Oryzias latipes: one gene and its partner. The protein of the gene in region 2 interacts with the protein of the main gene of each other region in a pairwise test. Links are inferred from orthologs where the notes say so. Each region holds a gene or a part of one and is shown on either strand. Other genes may lie near its edges. The genes, in order: cby1 and fam92a.

Region 1 (3,852 bases), on a different chromosome or scaffold from region 2:
AGACTAATGTTTCATCAGTTTGTCGTCTTTTTTCTCCCTCCTAAACAAAACAGAGGAGCATTACAGCGGCGGATCACATCGCTTTCTTTTTTTTTAACGCCGTCTTCCTCTTTTGTCATTTTAGAAATGGGGAAGACGGACGTTGTGAAAGTGAGAAAACAACGTTTTAAACACAAATTCAACGTTTTACTCAAATCCTAAAAAAAAGGAAACGTTGTTTTGTCAGAAGTTGACATGACCTCTGACCTCAACACTCGCAAAAACCTGAAATAATTGAAGTTTTTTTTATTGAGGATGAAAGACGAATGAAAAAATATTGTTTCTTTTTTTAATGTAGAGCAGAAAGATGTAAACAATAGCTTCACACAGAAGTCAAATAACAGCCATGAGTAGCTTTAAACGGCTTCCACGGCCCCCTTTGACCTACACCTACCCCCTTCAGGCTCCCCTTCTACCCCTGCCAGCCCGGTCAGAGCTGCACACAAATACAAAAAAAATACTTTTTTTTTTTTAAAATGGTGGCCTTCTGTTGGTTTTATCTCCATAGCAACCATTTCATTTTTTGGTCGCCTGGGGATGACGAACAAGTCAATGTCATTTTTAGAGGAATCTGCTAAAGTAAACTTCTTGATTTCCTTAGCAACAGAGGCTTTTTGTTAGCCACGCCCACATTCCTATTATTATCGTCTTTCATTCAGCTTAAAGGATTCGTGGAATAAATGTGCCGGCAACAGGGGAACGCCACTTTTGCGCCAACGGCGTTCATAATCCCAATGATGCTCGAGGAGTTAGGAGACGACATTTGTAGAAAGTACTAAAGGAGTTTTTATTTTTATTTTTTGAAGGTCAAAGGTCAGCAGAACTTGTGCTGTGGTTTTAGACTTTACCTTGACAAATGAGAGTGAAATTTCATGCTCGAACAAAAGTTTGTTTCATTTTACAGCTGATTTTTTTTTTTTTACCATTATGATCAATTTATTTAAAAAAAAATACAGATGTTAAAAAGATGAAAACCCACAAAAAATGACATAAAAAAGAATTCAAATCATTTTAAAAAAAACACATTTCAACAGATAAATAAAAGACACTTAAAGAAAAGATTATTTTTTTCTTCTGTGTTGAGTCTTTATGTCTTCCACTTCTTTCTCCATTAGATGATACTCCACTGTAGTTTCCGTCAGCTGGAAAAGAAATTCACTGTTTGTCATTAAATCCCTACATGTAAAGACGGAATTTTGTTATTTGTATGTACATTTCAAGGTCAAATCGATGCCTTTAGATGTACTTTTCCTGTGAAGAAATGACTAAAAACGTACCATGTCCAGCAGAACCTCAATCTTTAATTTCAAGAGATTGTTTTCCTCCTCCAGTTGGAGATTTTTCTTTTTGAGCCGCTGCATTTCCCTACTAGACGTGTTCCCAACGGACTCTAAAGAAAAATCAAATGTAAGATATTAATATTGGGATAAAGCAAACTAGTGAAGAAAAAACAAACATCTTTTGACTCTATTTTTGTTATGAAAACACTTCACTTTGCTAGGAATAAACAAAATTTTCTCTTTTCCTGATGTTTTTCTAAAATACTTGTCTTTTAAATCTATTTTCCTTGAGTGAGTATTGTAAACACCTTTTGCTTAAACAAAATATATTTCTATTTCTTTGACTGAACACAGTAAGCGATGCAGGAAATAGTCATAAAAACGAAACGAATGGAAGATTTTAATCCACAGAGAACACAAGTCAAGGATTTAAGACCTTGATTTGAACATAACCTGTTTATTGAAGTTAAATGTAAAGAAGATGCAACACAAACTGTGTGAGGAGTCACTACCTGTGATCCACTGTCCACCTTCAAACTTCCAGATTTGGCCTCCGATGTTGGCCTCGGGAGGTCCGTACTCTAAGCCCAGCTCTAGTTCTTTGGTCGAATGATCCAACTAAAACAGATGAAAAGGTCAAATAAACACCAGGATATGATGAAAGCTTCTCCCTTTTCTGCTCACTTCATCAGCCATCCTTCATAACCTTAACTATAATTACAAACACAGCCCTGTAATTAAAGTGAGGCTTTTCACTCACCGTGTGAAGGCTGGACATGGACGCAGATCTGCGGGAAAGAGTTTTCTTCGGACTGAACAAGTTTCCAAACAGCGGCATCTTCAGAGATCTTTTAAGGTCCTGCATAGGAGAGTCACAGCGATCCCAGTGTCTGTATAACGTCAGCTAACATTTGTTTATGGTTGCTAACGGCAGCAACTAAAGGGGGTTAAGCTAGCATGCTAATACATGATGCTAGCTGTCTAAAACAATCGTATCTGGTAGATTTTGTGATGATGTATTCATTTATTTTTTAACTTATAAGAGAATTTAGTAGTTTTTGTGTTACTTTGACCTTTCAGATAATATATTTACCTCCATATATTGTTTTTATTTAGAATCCGAGTGTACTGTGTTGATATTCGCTTGTTTTTAGCATGCTAACTACCTACTGCGCAAGTGCGAAGTTACCATTTGAAACTGTAAAATGTAAAACAAAACAAAAAGCTAAAAGTATTTTGTTTAAAAAAACAATAAATTAAAAAAATATATAAATGAAATTGTTGTGTTAAACGTTTGTTGATGTATGTAAAACAGGTGTAAACATTACAAAAGTAATATTGCTTTTGGGAAGATGAAACCCCCCTATTAATGTGAAAGTTGAATCGTCCCTGAAAGTTTGGCGAATCACCAAAATTCATTTTCTCTGCCGAAGTTTATTGCCGCTTCTCCAATTTGGGACATAATTTGAAGAACAAAAATATATATATATAAACATAACAAAGCAATAACAACCCATCTTCCTTTGTCCATATTCTTTTAATACTAATCTCGCTGCGATTGTCGACGCAGCCCCAGTGGCCTAATGGATAAGGCACTGGCCTCCTAAGCCAGGGATTGTGGGTTCGAGTCCCATCTGGGGTGGTTGTATATTTTTTCCCCCCCGCTAACCAGACTTTTTGGATGTGACAAGCATCAAAAACCAACATAAACGGATGCAGTTTTTCGGACTGGAAGCAGAGACAGCTCTGTGATTTAACAGCTTATATGGACTTTCAAAGAGTGAGTATCTGTATACTGCTGTGCACACTGACTGCATCGCTGCAACCCATGGATCTACCAAGGAAAAAGTGCTCTAAGCCTCAATCCCACCGTGAGTAATGCTCCTTTATGCTCCCATTACAAACCAATCTGTTGAGTTTTATTTAAATGTGTTGCATGGTGCCGTGATCTTTGCCATTCAGCAGTTTTCTTGTATTTTTGCAATATTTAATGTTAACATCTTTAGTAAAGTAAACATTTTTCATAGTTGTAAAATCCCCTCTGTAAGAATAAATCCGATTTTTTTTCCAAACAAAACATTATACCTCGGGTGTTTTATGATTACGTTTATTTTAATAGGAAATAACCCTGCAAAACAAACAAAATGCGATATTATAGAATATTTCATAGGAGGCATGTTACATAACGCTGTTATCTAACCTCAACCCTCTAACCCTGGTCATCCTCCTACAATGGTAGAGCTCCGAGAGGCCACCGTGCGTTGGGATGCTGCCCACAAAAGTGTAATCCTAACGGAGGGAGTGATGGAGACAGAGGGGGGGGCCTACGGCTACTTCAACGACACCCTGCTGCTCTCTGGATGGGGTGTGCTGGAGATCAGGGCAGGCTATGGAGCGGGTCCGCTGGATGATGAGACCACCTTCTTCCTGGCTGGATACCTGGAGGGCTACCTCACCGCTGGGTGAGGAAGAACGCTTTCAGAGCCAGCAAAAGGGAAAAAAGTTGTTTAACACGGCTAAAGCAGTTGTTGGA
Region 2 (4,372 bases):
TTTATTTAAGTATTTATTTATTTCTCACAGATGGAAATAAATTCAGGTGTAAAGAGATTTGAGTTTTAAATCAATGGCTACACTGTAAAAAATCATTTAAAAAGCAAATATCCACATGCGTGTGTAAATGTTTAATGTGTGAGTGTGTTAAAGCTGACACAAATGTTGTATTTTGTTATCTCTTTGTTAAGATATAATTAATGAAACAATCATTTTAGATGCTGCTTAATGTTGTGTCTCAAACCCATGGAAAAAATGTGGATATCACTGTAAATATTTTTTAACTACTGGGATATAAGAAATGCCTATTATATATATATTATCTCTCTAGTTTTATCTCTCATAGATTTTAAAAGGACATCGACACCAGCTGTTTGTTTGTTTATTTATTTGTTTATTTATTTATTTATTTTATTGCAAAGGTCACCTGGAAATTGTTTCACATTTACTTGTTTATATACCACAACATTTTGGACTGATGAACTAAACTTACTGGAAAAACATATTTTTCATGATGTTTCTTTTTGTTATAAGCACATTATTATTGGATAAGAAATTGAAAACAATGATGTCTATTTAATCAGTATAATTTTTCTTTCATCAAAATTCCATATGCAAACATGTAAATACAGTGATCCCTCGCTATAACGCGGTTTACTTTTCACGGATTTGCATCGTACATTGTGTTCTGCATTCTGATTGGCTAAAAAGTCACTCCGCTTCTTCTCTACGTGTGCGTCAATAACGTTTAATATGTGCAAATTCGCTTGCAATTTCTAGTTTCTCTGAAACCCATAGAAAAAAAGAGCGACAACAACTGCCTATCACTATGTTCTTCTCCCAAACAAACACAGCTGCAGCGCGGGCTTCATAAGAAGAAAACACTGCAGAGTGGAGTCAGGATGCAGCGGCTCAGTCTGAAGAGCAGTGAAATACACCTGAGTCACTATTTGTCCGACTGTACTTTGTATTTTTTTCATAGTCATTTTTAATTTTCTCCCGTTTAATCGCGGTGGGCGGGGCTAATCTCCGCAATTTGAAGCTTTCTGTTCATATTGATGATTAAAATTATTATTTGACAGTACAGTACAAAAGTTATTTTTTGAAAAAAAAAACGTTTCTAAAGTACTTTGATTTGTGAAACAAATGCTTGAGCCTGTAAAATGGTTTGTTCTTTCTTTTCAATGTATAATAGAGTTTTTAATTGGATAATAATTGTAAAAAAAAAAAAAAAAAAAAAGGTTTCTACTTCACGGATTTTGCCTATCACGGGTGCTTTTTGGAACGTAACCCCCGCGAAAAGCAAGGGTTTACTCTATACCCACATTAAACCTTATTTACCTCTTTTCATTTGTGATATAAAAACAGTGAAGCTTTTATAATCTCAAAGAATTTGAAAACTATAAAAAAAACTGTTTTCTTAAAAGTGGGGGTGTAAAGTAAGCTTTCATTTTTACAACTTTGTTGTACCTTTTTTGTTTTACAGTCAGAGTCTAGGTGTGTGCGTCATTACACAACTCGTTTTCCCATAATGCAACAGTCAAGCGGAAACGCTGTGGAGAGTCCATGGAAACGACAACTGCCTCAGTAGCCGTTAGCTTGCCTGCGGACTGCAGCAAGACTTAAAAAAAAACAAAAAAAACAAAACGGTTTCTCGTCACGATTTTTGAAAACACAAACATGATTCGGACTCCTACTTTAAGAGCCAGGTAAGAAAAATGTAACGAACTAAAGAACTCTGCTATTGTGAGAACAATTTGTTCTTGTGATGACTAATTTAGCTAGGTTTATACCCTCAGTTTCTTGACATGTAGCCGTTTTTTATATTTTGTCAGATCATTTCAATTGCTTCATGTTCAAAAGTGATGCTTTTCCAGGCTAGCCCGTTCATTTCCTCGCTTTTTTCACCAGAAACAATGAGAACACTTTCAAATTAAAAGCATAAAATGGAAATAATTTAGCTTAACACAAATAAGATTAAGGCCAGGTTTATATGGTCATTTGCTTATTACTAAGTTTTTGGAGGATTTTATTTGCTGGTAGTTTTAACATATATAAATTGAGAAACACAATTTTACCCCTCACGTTTTACCTTCATAATGACTGTTGCCATCAATCCCCTCCAGAGACAACCAGACAAAGAAGATCCAAGACAACATCACCAGGGTGGAGAAACACTTCGGAGAGATGTGCCAGCTGTTTGCGGCGTACACTCGCAAAACCGCCAGGCTGCGAGACAAGGGGGACCTTTTGGTCCAGCAGATAGCAGTTCATGCCGACACAGAGACTCCAGACCTCAAGAGGGGAATGAAGGAGTTTGCTGACCACCTGGCCAAGATTCAGGACTACCGCCATGCCCAGGCACGAGATACACAAATCTTTTACCCTATTTTTATATTCTTTTTTGGTTTGTTTTGTTTTTTCCATATATATATTTCCATATCAGTTATGGTTTGAATCCATCCATCATGGTAATATTGTTTTCCTGTTTTCTAGGTGAAAAGACTTGAGGCCAAAGTTGTGGAGCCATTAAAAACTTATGGCGCTGTGGTAATACGCAAAAGAGTGAGTCACGTTCCTATCCTGTTTTCTCTGATACATTTATTACAACTTAGGCAGATTTTTTGTGACTGCATTGAACTGGGGGGGGAAAAAACAATAACTAAGATTTCTGTAGCCAACAGAGGGCAGTGTTATTCAATACATGTCTCCACTTTTAGGAACTTGAGTTTATGTCTAAATACTGTATTTTCTTCTTGACAAAAAAATTTCCCACGTGTGGGATCAATAAAGTATTTCTGATTCTGATTAACTGTAGCACTACATTTTACAAAACATTTTTTTTTCATTCATGGATTTAATTTACACAATTTTTGTAAAATATTGGCTAAAAATAAGACTTTTTTCCTTGGTTGTAATAAAAATAAAAAGCCTTGTGTAAAATTAAATTACATCTTTATTCAAATATACAATTTATTTACATTTATTTTGAATTAGAAATAGTATAAATACAGTCTCCTTTTTGATTTTGTACATTTCTTTTTATAAAAGCGGATGTTTTTGCTTGATTCCGTCAGGATATTGACATGACACTATATTTCTGTATCTGAGTGTTTTTTTTGTTTGTTTTACACTTAAAGCATTATTAAATCACTGCATTCTATGTCCCATTTGATTGATTCCTCTTGCTTTTACCACCCTTCAGGAGGATGTGAAAATGACCCAAAGTGCCATAGATAAAGAAGCCAAACAGGAAGCTCAGCTCGAGAAAACAAGACTGAAAAACCCCTCTGACAGACAGATCATTGTATCCTTTTCATTCCTATTTCTATGAATGTGATTCATACTAAATGTGTATCTAAATATTCATGTTTTTCCCTTGACCAAATCCTCAGTCTCATGTGGGTTTGGGGTAAACCCTTTTTCTCCTTTCGTAATGATGTGGCATATCGTGACTTTAAATTATTTCCAGCATTATTTAACATTTTTCACATCTCTATGGATAAATAGCTGATTCCAAAAAAGCTTAATTGAGGTTGACCAAAAGGAATTATAGTTTAATTTTGTCATATGATTTGGAACTTTCCTGCCATCAGGCTGAAAGTGAATTACAAAAAGCCACAATGGATGCAGCACGGACCACCAAGCAGCTGGAGGAGACCATCGATGAGTTTGAGCGGCAGAAGATCCGTGACATCAAGGTTTTTCCCCTCATCTCTGTCATTGTTCCATAATGGGCCACATTTGCCTTTGTTCCAGTTCTAACTCCAGCCTTGCGTCCCTCTTTAGAAAATCTTCAGTGAGTTTGTGACTGTGGAGCTGTGCTTCCTTGGGAAGGCCTTGGAGCTGTACACCTCGGCCTACCAAAGCATTCAGAGTGTGGACGAGGAGGCGGACTTGGAGGTACACTGGTTTTTCTGATCCCGTCCAGCTAATTAGCCCGCTTTAGTGTGCTAATGTGCTTCAAACACAGATGTTGCATATTAGAAAAAAAAAACTGTTCTCTCACATTCCACTGTTAGAAGCCAGGTGTGTAATTTTGTGCCGGTTTGTGTACAGCCTCTGCTCTTTGTTTGACTGACCTAAAGACTCTGTTTAATGTTCCTACATTTATCGCAGAGATATCGACTCATTACTCACTGACTCATTGTTGATACACATCCTATTGTCTCCACCCTTTATCGCAACACACCTGTACAATTTAAAAAAAATGTGTTTGTTCAACATCAACTAAATGGTTCCCCATACCATTTCTTTTCTTTTTCTTTAAACAAAGCTTCAAGAGCAAAAGACAAAGGATCAGTGACATTCTGTGAGTGAGGAGGTTCTTCCAGTGGTTGCGTTTGCCTTCCACCCTCGCAATCCTCTCATT

What was found.
Region 1: the proteins of fam92a (region 2) and cby1 interact in binary tests that used the Homo sapiens proteins (3 or more experiments, as listed by UniProt). The two-hybrid records come from large-scale screens. The link is inferred for Oryzias latipes from reciprocal best matches to the Homo sapiens genes CIBAR1 and CBY1.

Annotation. Positions count from the first base shown.
Region 1 is NC_019877.2:2,313,018-2,316,869, reverse strand, and holds cby1 (protein chibby homolog 1), read right to left. Parts: upstream 2,503-3,852; 5' UTR 2,419-2,502; coding exon 2,413-2,418; intron 2,179-2,412; coding exon 2,080-2,178; intron 1,938-2,079; coding exon 1,832-1,937; intron 1,430-1,831; coding exon 1,317-1,429; intron 1,182-1,316; coding exon 1,101-1,181; 3' UTR 802-1,100; downstream 1-801. Other genes in the region: phospholipase B-like 1, read left to right, coding at 3,085-3,190, 3,559-3,781. UniProt on the Homo sapiens protein: Inhibits the Wnt/Wingless pathway by binding to CTNNB1/beta-catenin and inhibiting beta-catenin-mediated transcriptional activation through competition with TCF/LEF transcription factors.
Region 2 is NC_019869.2:22,775,081-22,779,452, forward strand, and holds the start of fam92a (protein FAM92A), read left to right. Parts: upstream 1-1,513; 5' UTR 1,514-1,680; coding exon 1,681-1,709; intron 1,710-2,126; coding exon 2,127-2,361; intron 2,362-2,496; coding exon 2,497-2,565; intron 2,566-3,205; coding exon 3,206-3,307; intron 3,308-3,395; coding exon 3,396-3,401; intron 3,402-3,596; coding exon 3,597-3,701; intron 3,702-3,789; coding exon 3,790-3,903; intron 3,904-4,372. UniProt on the Homo sapiens protein: Plays a critical role in regulating mitochondrial ultrastructure and function by maintaining the integrity of mitochondrial morphology, particularly the organization of cristae.